Tamandua tetradactyla: one gene and its partner. The protein of the gene in region 2 purifies or fractionates together with the protein of the main gene of each other region. This does not show direct contact. Links are inferred from orthologs where the notes say so. Each region holds a gene or a part of one and is shown on either strand. Other genes may lie near its edges.

The links. Proteins that work in one complex are often made in the same cells at the same time.
Region 1: the proteins of WRAP53 (region 2) and CCT4 purify together in Homo sapiens (co-immunoprecipitation; 3 studies listed by BioGRID and IntAct, with this or other methods). This does not show direct contact. The link is inferred for Tamandua tetradactyla from reciprocal best matches to the Homo sapiens genes WRAP53 and CCT4.

What each region holds. Positions count from the first base shown.
Region 1 is NC_135343.1:34,675,317-34,683,074, forward strand, and holds the start of CCT4 (T-complex protein 1 subunit delta), read right to left. Parts: upstream 3,269-7,758; 5' UTR 3,111-3,268; coding exon 2,984-3,110; intron 121-2,983; coding exon 68-120; intron 1-67. UniProt on the Homo sapiens protein: Component of the chaperonin-containing T-complex (TRiC), a molecular chaperone complex that assists the folding of actin, tubulin and other proteins upon ATP hydrolysis.
Region 2 is NC_135332.1:61,507,843-61,515,020, forward strand, and holds the start of WRAP53 (telomerase Cajal body protein 1), read left to right. Parts: upstream 1-4,085; 5' UTR 4,086-4,397; coding exon 4,398-5,038; intron 5,039-5,189; coding exon 5,190-5,288; intron 5,289-5,491; coding exon 5,492-5,603; intron 5,604-7,178. UniProt on the Homo sapiens protein: RNA chaperone that plays a key role in telomere maintenance and RNA localization to Cajal bodies. Specifically recognizes and binds the Cajal body box (CAB box) present in both small Cajal body RNAs (scaRNAs) and telomerase RNA template component (TERC).

The DNA.
Region 1 (7,758 bases), on a different chromosome or scaffold from region 2:
TCTACATCAAATCTTGTAGTGCTGACAGTAGTGCTCAGTAAAAAATAAATCATTCTTTTTTTTTTACCATTTTATCCATTCCTTTTGGTCCAAGGCTTGTTCTAATAGCATCAGCAACAGCTGTAAACAGAAGGAAAAAAGAAATCAAGAGTCTTCAAAGAGCGAAGTATTTTTCCTCTCAAAAAAACTGTCCTTATTAGAATATGGTGCACAATAGTTCATTGTGACGCTAAAGAAAAATTCATTATATGATAATCTACTGGAAACAGAATTACTTTGCTCCTATTAAATGTATAATGCTTCAGCTTTGTTTTGTAAAGCCAATGTGCATAGTATGTGTGCCCTCCCTAAGGCAGAACAAACTTTGATTACTGAAGATTGGATTATTTCCTCCATTTCTTAAAATAAAAAATAATAGATAAATTTTAAAAAAAGGCCAAATAGCATAGGAAAAGCCATGCTTTTCCTAACAGACTAAGTAATTTACTATTTTGTTCACTTTGTCTCCCTCAAATACAGTATAATCTCTGAGGGCAAAAGACTTTGTTTTGTTCACTAATGTGGTTCCAGCACCTGGTATATAGATTGCCCACATTCAAAAAATCAACATTAAGACTTTCAACAGAGCAAATAGTAGTGGTACAACTTCTGAAAATGCTGTAGAGCAAAACACTCTTTGACAGAACAAACAAAAACCCCCAAACCGCCAAGTCATATTCTTATTACTTGTAGATAATTTCTATTGTACTAATACACTTCCAATCACTTCCCAGGAGAAACTGAAACTGATGAACAATACCCCAGTCCCTTTTCTTTGACAAGTCCAGGATAAACGATTAAATCTTCCCCTTTCTCACACACCGTTTTGCCCCACAATCATACTGCAGAGATTATGCCCTAATTAATTCTGTATACTCCACAACTCGGATAACGCTTTCCCCCATATGGTAGGAACATACATAAAAACTTAAGAATTTTAAAGAGAAATATTAGGTATACATTAAAATTTATATTCTATATAATTATTCCATAACTTTGGGTTGCTGTTCCTAATTATCCAGTCAACATTACACTTTCAGGGGATTTTAGCAGACCCATATGGCCGTGATTCTATAAGCAGACCAATCCATTTTAAGAATGTCCTATCAATGTGAACACTCTTGATACAGAGATACATACTGCCTAAAACATAAAAATACGATTTTAGATTGCTTATATTTCAGAATGTGGTTTAATATACTGTATATTCAATAGTGTCTCTTAAATGACTTTTGCTGGATAGTAATAAACTACTACTACTTTTGTGAGTTTGTGTTTAACATTATCCACAAATGGCACTATTATCTATATCTCTTGGTAATACCGAAACAAAAAACTGGCTCCCTGAATTTAAACTAAAGATGCATAAGGCAGCAACTTTTCTGATTAGCTTGAAGGATTTTGTCTGACTTGGAAAAACTATTTGTGCCCCTTTGTTCTCAGAGCTCTTCTTACATATGTTAATAAGAGTCAGGTTCAAAGATAATTTAGGTGGTCTTTCCTTCCTACACTCATACTTCTCTTATCCTGTTTCAATTCTCTATGTACTGGCAGTTTCTAAGGGTTCTCTTCTAAACCTCCCATTCTCTGTCTTCCTTATTGATAATCTGCCAACATACTGAAAATCTCTTTGCCTCCCAGAGTTTATCTTTCAACATCTTCTAGTTTAATAAATCTAATTTTATGCCTTCAAGTATGGTCCTCAGAAAATGTCTATCAAATGTTTAATTCCAGGTATATTCTGTCCTGAAATTGCAAATGACTTCTAAATCCATGCATCTCATCTTTCTGATACCTTCAATTCATTAGCCCGAATTAGAAACTATTATTTTCTCTTCTACCGTCTTTCCTACTGTGTTACCTATTCCTTTTAATATCATCACCTCCCAGTCACCTGGGCTGATCACCTCAAGTAACTGCAAAATCGTATTTACATACATAGTTAAAAAAAAAATTATCTCATTTATACCCTCATAGCAACCCTACAAGTTAGCTACCATCTCATTCTACGGAAGAATTGTTAAAGCTGAAGATTAATCAGACACCCTGACCTTCAAGATGTGAGCCCAAACTACCTTTTCAATCTCATTTCTCACATACCCAAATAAAATACCCACTCTTCTTAATAATCGTCCTGAGCAGGATCTTAAAAGCTTTGTCTTCATCTTCCTTCCTCGCTCTCCTACTTAAGCTCGACTTCTTCTTAATCAAGCTCTAAAAAGCAAACATTTTCCTTCTCAATTTTATAAATGAGAAAATCTTGGCTCGGAGGTGAAACACTTAAAACTTACAAAGCTAGGAAGTAATGAAGCAGAGAATAAAACTCAAATCTTCTCCATTCCCACCATGCGCCAAACTGTTTTACGAAAACCAGTAATTGTCCACGTTTCTTGAATTTGCACACGCAATGTAGCGTTCCATGATTATACTCAAACACTACCGACCAAGTTTCGGGGTCCTTTCCACTCCACGATCGATCACCACTGCGGGGGTAAAATGGGCCCCGCCCCAAAGAAGATGCAGTTTACCCAAACTCCTCTTAATAGCTGTGCCAAGGCAAACTTATTTAAAAGGTGTTTTTATAACAAGCAAGAGAACTGAAAAATGTGCAAACAATATTCTACCAGTGAATCCAAAAAGTAGATAAACGACAACTCTTAAGTGTCAGATCTCAAGGGACACGCAGGCCTCGATACTCAAGACCGAACCGTTTTCTGCGACCAAGCGATGAATGACGCACACCCCAGGATGAAAAATCACGGGGGACTAAAACCCAAATAAATCAAGTCCAAAAGCCTCCTTACTAGAATTCGAATATTACCGGGGGGAAACAGAAAGGACCTCTGCAAAGTTTCAACCACCGGGAGGCCAATCGAAAACGACTAGAAGGAAAAGAAAACGGACAATAACCCGCACAAGACCAGACAGACCCAGAGAGCGATACCTTTGGCCGCGGAAATGTTGCTGAAACGTATCTGGGCCGGTTTGTCGCGGTCCTGATAGGCGCCCTTCCCGCGGCCGCCGGCAGCCCCAGCAGGCGCCCCACTCCGGGGAGCCACGTTCTCCGGCATGGCAAGCTTGGTTGGATCTGTGCGGCTTCGGGAAGGTCGGATGGACGCGGATTCCTGCAGGCAACGGAATAACGGTGTGCACCCACGGTCTTGACGAACCTTCCAGAAATCGGCGCCGGCGCCGCGAGGAGGAGTAGGGGGCCTGCCTGAGGCGCGGCGCGGACATGACGTTGAAGGCTGCCCGCCGCGCGCCAGGCGAAAAGACTGCGCACCGTGAGTTCCCGAGCTTGCAGAGGGGTGGGGTGTTGGTCCGAGATATTGGGGCCGGAGGCGCTATGGGCGGTCTCGGGCGAGGCAGAAATGATAACTAGAGATTTTAAAGGCGAATGCTGGAGACACTCCTATCTCCCCACCCTTCTCTAGCGGTGAGGTCCCCTCCGTTAACTTTCATCTAGTGGGTGTGGCGGAACTGGCTTTTGCCAACCTCCCTGACCTGAATTTTTATTCTGTTTTACTCATTGTGAAAGGGAGTCGGAAGAGAGATATTTGGCTAGATGGTTTCTTTGCTTTGCATATGGGGGTTGGTTGTCTCACATTGATTTATACTGGGTGGTAGATAGAGGTTTAAATAAACCTGTTTAAGTACAAAAGACCTAGTTATGGAGCTATGATTGCCTGCTAAATCTAGACTAACTAGAACTCTCCTTTTCCGCTGATAATTCCTATATAACATAGCCACCTGATTTTAGGGAGCCTAAGTGTTAAAATCGCGAACGATTATTTAGTACAATTATGTGTTAGGTACAGTGCTAAGTCGTTTACATGTTTTATCTTGTTTAATCCTCCACAATCATATGTTGGGCACAGTGCTAAATCGTTTACGTGCTTTATCTTGTTTAATCCTCCCAGCAGTCCTATGAAAAATCCAATTAATTGAGTGCCATTATCTTTATTTAGCAGATGAGGAACTGAAGCCAAAGGTAAACCAGTAAGAAGATGGAAACACTATTCCAATGCAAGGCAATGATTCCAGAGGCCATGCTATAAACTTCTAGGCTCCTTTACTACTATATTGTCTCCAATCAAGTGAGTACGGAAGTTTACACAGGAGAAGTTCATTCAGAAGTAATTACTGTGTGCCCATAAAGTGCGGAATGCCTGCCATAGCCTGAAAGGCTACTGTTGCAAGTACTGAATCCTGTAATCAAAAGGTACTTTTGGGGCCATGGTGGTTCAGCAGGCAAGGATGCTTGCCTGCAATGCCAGAGGACCCGGGTTCGGTTCCCTGTGCCTGCCCATGTGAAAAAAAAAAAAGGTGCTTTTGCATGCATCACCAGGATATTAGCACTGGAAAACGAAGCTTCCTGGATGCCCTGTGCAGTGGTTTGGAGCTATATACTCAGAAAAACATGTTTTTAAACTTAAATCATTCCTGTGGGTGTGAACCCATAGTAAGTAGGAACTTTTAGTTAAGGTGAGGTATTAACTATTAATACTGAACTCAATAAGGTGGGATATTAGTCCTATTACTAGAACCCTTTATAATTAGAAGGGAATTCAGACACAGTGAAAGCCACAGCTGGAGCAACCATAAGCAGAAAGTTAGTGGAACTAAGTGAGAGGCTGGGAGAGGCCGCCATGTACATTACCATGTGACAGAAGCCAAGGACCAAGGATCACCAGCAGCCACCACCAGAACACCAGTCTTTGGGAAGAAAGCATCACCTTGATGACGCCTTGATTTGGACTTCTTGCCTTAAAACTGTGAGCCAATAGCCATTATATGGTATTTGCTTAAGTAGCCAGAGAAACTAAAACACTCTGTGATCCATAAGCCTTTGGTGCAGCCTTCTTTTCAAAGGGCCTGATTACCTCCCTGTAGCACATAAACACTCTATGGTTATTTGTTTAGAAACTGATATGCTGTGCAATGATAGAAATAGTATTACTTTGGGGGTCCAAAATCCTGGGTTGATTTAGATCCTTACCTTACACCATATTAAAAAATTAACTAAAAATGGGTCAAGGTTATAAATTTAAGAGCTAAAATTATAAAAAACTTAGAAGAGACATAAGGGGCAAATCTTCATGAACTTGGATTTGGCAGTGGCTTCTGAAATATGACATCCAAAGCATAGTCAACAAAAGAAAAATAAGATAAACTGAAGCACATCAAAATCAGAAATTTTTGTGCATCAAAGAATATCATCAAAAGAGTGAGAAGTAACCCCCAAAATGGAAGAAAACATTTGCAAATAATACATGAGTTAGGGGTTTAATATTCAGAATATATGAGGATCTTCTATAACTCAACAACAAAAATACAAACAACGCAATTAAAAGTAAGCCAAGGACTTGAATAGACATTTTTTCGAAGATGAACAAATGGCCAATAATGTCATGAATAGATGCTGAATAGCATAAGTCATTAGGGAAATGCAACTTAGAACCACAAAGAAATACCTTTTTACATCTATTGGGATCATTGACATCAACAACAACAACAACAAACCCAGAAAGTAACAAGTGTTACCAAGGATGTGGAGAAATTGGAACCCTTGTACACTGCTGATGGGAATGTAAAAATGGTGCAGCCACCGTGGAAAACAGTTTGGTGGTTTCTCAAAAAGTTAAACATGGAAGTACCACATGAACTAGCAATTCCACTCCTAGGTGTATAGTGAAAAGAATTTAAAACTAATGCACATCAAAAGGTGAATGGATAAACAAAATGTGGTATATGCAGGTGAGCTGATTTGAAGCTGTTTTGTACCCCAGAAAAGCCATGTTCTTTTAATCCAATCTTGTGAGAGCAGACCTGTTGTTGGGTGGGACTTCTTGATTAGGTTGTTTCCATAGAGATGTAACCTTCCCAGTTGTGGGTGGGATCTTTTTTTTTTTCACGGGCAGGCACCTAGAATTGAACCTAGGTCTCTGGCATGGCAGGCGAGACCTCTGCCTGCTGAGCCACCATGGCCCGCCCGGGTAGGATTTTTTGATTAAGTTGTTTCCATGGGGATGTGACCCACCCAATTCAAGGTAGATCTTAATCCTTTTACTGGAGTCCTCTATGAAGAAAAGTCAGAAAACATACGGGCAGCTGAAAGCCAACATAGAAAGTAGAGTGATGAAACAAAGGCGTGGACATTTGGAAATGGATAAGCTAACATGAAATCCAGAGTTTGCCCCAGAGAAGCTAAGTGAGGACTCAGATTCTTAGAAAGAAAGCCACTTGAAACAGCAGCTGAGTGGGCCGTTTGAAATCAGAAGCTGGGAGCAAATGACAGCAGATGTTGCCACGTGCCTCCCCATGTGACAGAGAAACCGTGGACCCATCGGCCTTTCTTCAGAGTCAAGGCATCTTTCTCTAGATGCCTTAATTTGGATGTTTGCATGGATTTAGGGCTGCAAATTTGTAACTTAATAAATCCTCTTTGAAAAAGCCAGTCCATTTCTGGTATATTGCATTCTGTCAGCTTTAGCAAACCAAAACAACATGCAATTGAATATTATTCTGCCATAAAAAGGAATGAAGTTTCATAAGTGCCATGACATAGCAGAACTTTGAATTATTCTAAGTGAAATGAGTCAAACACCAGAGGAAAAGTTTGTATGATTTCACTTACATGAAATATCTAGATTATGCAACATAATAGAGACTAAAGGACTTGTGGTTACAAGGGGATGTGGGTTGGGGTGCAATGGGAAGTTATTGATTAATGGATAAAGTCTACTGGGGTGATGAAAAATTTTGGAAATAATTACATTATGAGTGTAGTTAATACCACTGAATTGTACATGTAAATATGGTAAAAATGGCTAATTTTATGCACATTTTAGCACACACGAAACATTTTGTCCCTAAGTATCAAAAAAAGGCAAGGGGAAAGGATGGGTAGTAGATGGCAGAATAGATGAAATAAGATGGCCAATGTATTGATGATTGTTAAAGTTGTTGGCGGGGACATGGGAACTCATTATGGTATTCTTTTTACTTTGCATGTGCTTGAAATTTTCCATAATAAAATTAAAAAAAAATTTTTGAATACTCAACAGAGAATATGACCAAATTGCTCCAGATATTTTGCATCTTTCCAAAATCAATCTCATTTTCTAAATCTTAGAATGAATCTGGAGTAAAAAATTTTTAAATGCAGAAACAGTGCTTTGTTCTGTGGCAATTTCATTCAGAGTGCTTGCTATGATAGCTATTTTGGTCAACTGGCTCATAGTAGGGTACAAAACACACAAGCTTCATGGAGGGGTAGTCCACAAATAAACTGAACCCCTTATGCTCTGAACCATCATCTATCTAGTCAGCCACCTAAACTAGAAATCCAGGAGTCATTCTGTTCACTCTTCCCTGGCTCCCCCACATAACACCTGTTCATTTCGCTTTATTATCTCAAGAAACCATCTCATATTCTCCATCTTCATTGTCAGTGCCTTATATCAGAACCGCATCATCATCTATTTGATTGTTGGGATAGTCTAACTTTTAGCCTTACCCTCATCTCTGGTTCATTTTCCACACTGCTATCACAGAGAGACTAAAAACAAACAAACAAACAAAAAACCTACTTTTTATTTTGAAATAATTTCACACTTTTTTAAAGGTCAGTTGCAAAAATAATACAAAACCTATTGTTCTAGTTTGCTGGCTGCCGGAATGCAACACACCAGAGATGGATTGGGTTTTAATAAAAGG
Region 2 (7,178 bases):
GAGAAAGTTTCCTTTTCCTAGTCTGCTATTTTTTTTTAATCTGAATGAGTGTTGATACGACCCATTGTTTTTTCTGCATCTGTTGAAATGCTCATAGGATTTTTATCTTTTAATCTGTAAATTACATTGATTTTTGAATGTTGAATAATATTGCAATCCAAGGATAAAATCCAATGGTCAGGATGTATTTTTTATACATTCTCAGGTTTACCTGCTAAACTTTGTTATATTTATATATATATATGTTAATGGGCTATTGGTTTGAAATTTTCTTTTCTTGACGGCCTCACAAAATAAGCTAGGAAATGTCCTATTTTCTGAAAGAATCTATAAGAATGATATTTTTTTCCTCAACTATTTGGAGAGAAGAAGAAAGAACAGTGGAGACAAATAGGAAATAGTAGTAAGGTGGTAGATTTTAACCCAAACTCTACAATAATTGAATTAAATGTATATGGACTCAACACCCCAATTAAAAACAATTCAGTGGGGAAAGGTTATTTCAACAAGTGGTGTTAGAACAACTGGACATCCATATAGGGAAAAAAAAAAGAACCTCAACCTCTACCTCACACCATAAACAAAATTATTTTTTAATTAATTCATGATGACTCATAAATGTAAAACCTAAACCCATAGAGGCTCTCCCATAAAACATAAGAGAATATCTTTATGATCTTGAGATGAGATAAGCAAAGATTTCCTAACCAGGGCACAGAAACACTGAAGATAAAAGAAAAAAAAAGATAATTTGGGATTTCAAATTAAAATCACTATTCAGCTAACAAACAGGAAAGCAATAGATTAGGAGAAAACATTTGCAACGTGTATCTGACAGAGGGCTTGAGTCCTGAATATCTAAATTTCTATAACTCAATAATAAAAAGAAAAAAAACAAAAAAGGGAAAAAGGCTTGAAGAGCTACTTCACATATGACATGTAAATAGCCAATAAGCATATGAAAAACTGCTCAACATCACTAGTTAATAGAGAGCTGCAAATTAAAACCAGGATGATATACAACTACAATTAGAAGACTGATACCACCAAATGTTGGGAGGGATATGGGACAACTAGAACACTTATCTTGATGGTAGGAGCGTAAAATGGTAAGCTACTTTGGAAAACTGAGAGCTTCTTTATACTGTATCTACTCTCTGACCTAGCAATTCCAGTCCTAAGTATTTAACCAAAGAAAGTTGAAAACATATGACCACAAAAAACTGTACAAGAATGTTCATAGCAGCTTTATTCATAGTAACCCCAAACTGGAAACAGCTCAAACGGTCATCAAAAGGAGAATGGATAAGCAACTGATGGTATATTCATACGATGGAATATACTAAATAAAAAAGAAAACATACAAACACGCCATTCTTACATGCAATAACATAAATTTCAGACAATATGCTGAAGGTAAGAAGCCTGACGCAAGACCACATTTTGTAGGACTGCATTTACAGAAGTTCTCGAACAGGCAAAATTAATCTATGGTGATAGAAAGAAAGGTGGGGGTAAGGCAATGACTGGAAGGAGACATGAGAAAACACTCGGGGGCGACTTAAATGTTATATATTTTGGTGGGCGTGTGGGTTGCAACGGTGGTTACATTTGACAAACCTCGTTAACCTGTGCAAATGCTACTTCAATTAAAAAAAAAGAAAAAGCAAAAAAAAAACAGAAGCGTTGGTTCATAACAGGTGCGTGTAAGTTACTGCTAAATGAAACTACCGCGCCCTACGTGATGAAGATGCGGGAGAAACGGATTCGCAGGACTTCCCGCAGGTTTCGCGGCCTCCCACAGGGCAGAATCAGCCAGGGTAGGGGGCGGGACTTAGGACCTCGGGGCCGCCTCTCTCCAGCGCCCGCCCCTTCCGCTTTCACGACGTTCGGTCTGCGTCCTAAATTGGAATCACTTAGCCCAAAGCCGGATGTAAGATAAACTTTCTCCCGTGCAAACAAACCGCCCTTCATTATACTGTCTCATCGTGGTTTCTTAAATCTACCCCTTCTCGACAACACCCAGGTTAGCGCTCTGCACCCTCTTTTACACCCCTGTCGCACGCAATGGTAGCGCCCGGCTTGATCTCAGACTCTGGAGCACCCCATTCGAAGAGGGGGAGGTTTTGAGTTTTACATCAAAACAGCATCCCTTCCTTTCCAAATGTGATAACCGAGTAGTCCAGGGGAGAAAAAAGTGGGATGGGATGTGGACAGCAACCTCTCTCTGCAAGAAATAGGAAACGATCTAAATGACATTCTCTTTCTCTTTTTGCTCCCCTCTCATCGGGTGAATAGTGAGCTGGTCCGAAAAAAGAAACCGGAAATGCAAGTGCAAGTGGCAGAAATGCAAATATGGAGCCAAACAATAACAGGGCTCCCTTGGCCTCTCAGATCTGGACAGTTCTCCCCAGTCCCGCGGGCAAACCCCAGCACTTCCTCCTTCCACGCTGTACAGTCTTTAATTGGATTTTTTCCTCTACCTCTCCAGGAGGGCAAAGATCCGGACGTTGTGGGACCTTCCTTAGCGGCTTGGGCTTCCCTGACCACCCCAAATCCTTTCGGGACGAAGCTCAAGGTTCCACCACGATGCCATGGGCTCTAAAGTCTCAAGCCACGAGCTCCCAATGTTTCGAGATCATAGTCTCATATCCCAATGCTCTGGGCGTCTTATTTAATAGTTCCTCACACCCAGCTCTGGATTGGGAGGTAGGGTCGGAAAGGACCCGTTAGATTCTTTCGAGATTCCCCAAAGCCCCACTCCACCGCCGAGGTGTCCAGCTCTGAGTTCGGCTGAGTCTAGCACCCCATCATTTACAAGCCTGTCATCCCAACATTGCATTCCCATGTTGATCCCGCTAGACAAGCTCCCATTTCCTCCAAAATTCACTAAGCCTCCACTGTCCCCCCCAGCCCCCACCCGCTACCCCCCACCCCCGCAATTCTCTGAGCTGACAATACAGAGCAGAGAGCTCTTGACTCAGAGAAGACTCATCAAGCTCAGTTAGGGGCTTACCCGAACCTCAGGGGAGCGTGTCACCGTCCTGGGAAGCACGCTCCGAGCCCGGACGCCAGGTACCCCCGGAGCCCAGCAGCTACCTGCGCCCAGGATGGTGGCTCTATACTTTTGAGGAGCTGAAAACTTTTAGCGCCGGTCTGAGCACATGGGAGGGGAAAGTCCCAATCCCGGCAATCCTCGCGAGGTTCCTGGCACAACGCTTGCATTCGCCATGACAAGTAAGGGCAAGCAATTCGCCTGCAGGCGAAGGCGAAGGGGCGGGGAAAAGGAAAAGAGGGCACCGAGAGAGTCTGCATTCTGGTTTAATTGGTGTTGTAGCTACACATATTTTGTGGTGGGGACGTTCCGCAAGCCAGAGATTCGAGGGCAGAATTGGTGGAAATCATCTCGGAGAAGTCTTGCTATTATGTAAAATATTTAGGGTGGAAGGAAGAAAATCTTTGCACTTGCTTTTCCCTCTGCTTGGCGCTCCATTTCCCCAGACAGCTGGATAGTTTCTTTTCATAAGCTAAAATGTTGCCTTTTAGAAAGGCTTTCCTTGATATTTCAGTCAAAATATTGCTCCAGATACTGATACTCAGTACCACATCAACCTGTATAATTTCCTCCACAGGCCATATCACTATCTGAAAATATATGTTCATTTGCCCATTGCCTTCAATGAGCAGCAGCAAAACCCTTATGAGCACAGAGACCCTGCTCTCATCTTATTCACGGATGGATTCTCTAGTACAGTGCTAAGTAGCAAGTAAAGGTTCAAAAATAAATATTTATTGAATGAACGAAAAGGGAGGCAGGTCTGAGGAATTTGGCGAATGAGAGGAAAAAGTGAGTCAAAAGCAGAGGGTGCCAGCGATTATAGCGCTGGCACCCTCTGCAGGTAAGGGGAGGTAGGGACTTTAAGTACCACCGCGGTGAACGGCAGGGGGAGCTCAGGCACTTCTCGCCAAGGCAAAACTCTCAGACTACGACTCCCAGCAGGCACTGGGGCTCCGGGACTGGATGGGAAAGGCCAACCTTCTGACCTGTTTGTTACGTCCCCGCCCCCGCCCTTCCCGTGGATCTCCCGCGAAATCTAATCCGGATGCGGAGGTCCAATCGGAAGGTCGGTCCAAATCCCGCGAGAGCAATGACGCGTAGCGGCCCACCCAGGTGAAGAATGCTTGTTCCTAACCTAGGTGTCCTTCGTCTCGCTTGCTGGGGTCTTCTGCCTACTCTTGGAAGAGAAAAGAAGGCAAGGTGTGGTTCTCCAGCCCTGCGTCCGGATCCCTAGTAACTTTGGAGCGGCCCCGACCCCTCCGCTGGCCAGGCGGTCGGTAGCCGGCGGGAAGACTGTTGCCGGGCCGGGGGCCAATGCCAACTTCGCTTCTTCTGCAGTATGAAAACTCCGGACTCGCGACCATTAGCTCCGGACTGCTTTCGTTCAGTACAGGTCCCGGCTCCAGTCCGTGACTCTTCCCCGGCTTTCCCGATGCGTAAACATACGGACCCTGAACTGATGACACCGCCGCCCAATGAAGATGATCCGCTCCGGATGTCCCCAGATCCTGCGGCTGGCTCAGCTGTGTTCCAGGAGCATGAGGAGGGGATCCCATCTTCTTTCTCCACTTCCCTGGAAACAAGGTTTGCTACTGCTAGTAAGTTGAGTCCTAGAATTGAGGAGCAAGAACCTTTTGAAAATGTGAACCTTCCTGCAGAAGAAACGAACAGGCCGGATTTGGGGCCTGGAGAAGCCATGGAAGGTTTGGAGAAACCAACTCCAGAGGGTGAGGGCTACACGGAACCAGCTCCAGAGAATGAGGGATATACGGAACCGGCTCCAGAGGGTGAGGGCTACACGGAACCAGCTCCAGAGAATGAGGGATATACGGAACCGACTCCAGAGGGTGAGGGCTACACGGAACCAGCTCCAGAGAATGAGGGATATACGGAACCGGCTCCAGAGGATGAGGGCTACACCGAACCGGCTCCAGAGGATAAGGGCTGCACCGAACTGGCTCCAGAGGATGAGAACTACATGTAAGTGGTGATTGCAGTTGATTCTGGAGTCTGAGGAGTTTGGAAGTGTGAGTTAAGCCTTATCCACCAGTCCTCAGCCCCACTTTTCCAAGCCCGTTTCCCCCTTTGCTTTGGCGACCCAGGTTTGTTGTTCCCCCCACCTTCTTTCCAGCACTTGGAACTACAGCTTCTCCCAGCTACCTCGATTTCTTACTGGTTCCTGGTCAGAGTTCAGCACCCAACCTGAGAACTTCTTGAAAGGCTGCAAGTGGTAAGTAAGGATAATGGGACAAGGAGATAGTCACCCTCAGGATTTTCACCCTAAAGCACCCCAATTCTCTGGAGAAAGGAGTAAGAATCACTTTTAGGACTTCTCTTGAGAACTCAGGGGGTTTACCCAGAGATAGGCAAGGCCCTAGCCCCTACACGTGGAATATGTGTCTGTCCAATCTTCTAACTCTTTCCTACTTCTAGGGCCCCTGATGGTTCCTGCATTTTGACCAATAGTGCTGATAACATCTTGAGGATTTATAACCTGCCCCCAGAGTTGTACAAGGAGAAGGAACAGCTGGAATATGCAGAAATGGTGAGGGTAGGGGCTCACTGCCCCTTCATTAGACACTGCACCTTTAACTCCTTCCATATAGACTCTATAGTCCATGCGCCTCTTGCTCACAAGTGGAGCTTTTCTTAATGAATTTCCACAGTTAGCATTCTCTGTCCTGAATTCTGAAGTCGTTTTGAGAGATATTTGTGCCTTCTTCGGTCAGGAATTTGTGTTTCTCATTAAAAAAAAATAGTAAAAGTGGATTTCTCATGGCAGTATTTGTTTACAGGTGTTTATTTGGTGACTAGCAATGTGTCAGTCACAGTATTCACTGGTGTGATTAAGTGGTGAGCATGACAGTTGAAGAGCTGGTTTATTTTCTTGTGTGAGAGACAGACAAAAAAACAAATGAACTTGTAAATGAATAATTAGTCAAGATTGTTATAGATTATAATAAGTAATCTTTATAAATGCTATGAAAGAAATAAACAGAATAAACAGAGAATAGCTGGAAGATATCATTTTGAATAAAACAGAGAGGGGCTCTCTGAAAAGGAGATATTTCAACTGAGACATGAGAAGGCTGATATTGGACCAGTTATGTGTAGAGCTCTGGAAAAACCATTCCAGGAAGAAACAATAAATTACAAAGATCCAGAGCTGGGAAAGATCTTTGTGTGTTCAAGGAACAGAAAGAAGGCCAATATGGCTGGGATGAGGTGAGTGAGGGGGGTTGTGGGGGTGAGGATGGGAAGGTAGCCAGAAGCCATGTCCTGGAGGATCTTGTGAGTAGGCATTTCAAATTTATTTGGGAAGCCATGGAAGGGTTTAAAAGAGAAGGGTGAAATGGTGACTGAAGTTTAGAGAATGGATTGTGAGGGGGCAAGAGTGAGATCAGGCAGAGCCATTAGGATGCATTTATCATGGCCCAGACAAGAGATGGGTGATGGTGGCTTGGGCTAGGTTGGTTGGTATAGGAAGAGATGGAGAAATGTAGATGGATTTGAAGTAACTTTGTAGGTCTTGGAGATCAGTTGGATGGGGACATGCAAGGAAAGAAGCAATCAAGGGTTATGTCCAGGTTTTTGCAACTGAGTGGATGTTGGTAGAGTTTATTCCAGAGGAGGAAATGAGATATGAACAGGTATTGGGATTGAAATCAAGTGTTTTTAACAACATTAAGTGTGAAAGTAAAACTAGAGGAGAGATCGCGGCTGGGGATATATCTTGAAAAGTAGGAGAGCATGTAGACGGTATCTGCTGCCTTAAGATTGGAATTCAGTCTCAAGAGAGGGTGTAGATGAAGGAGAAGGCCCAGACAGAGCCCTGATCTCTCCAGCTGAAGAAATTACAAAGACGGAAGCTGAGAGTCATGTCTAATGCTGCTGAGAGATGGAGTCAGGTGAATTCAGAGGAATGATCCAAGAACAGATTAGTGACCTTAACAGGAGAACTTCCAGAGGAGTGATGGAGGCAGAAGTGGGTTAGAGTTGGTGGAAGAGTAAGTACGGACAATTCTTTGGAGAAGGTTTGCTGTGAAAGGGAACCAGTGAATGGAACAGTGACCAGAGGGAATGTGGGGGTCAAAGAAATAATACAATGAGGGGGATAAAT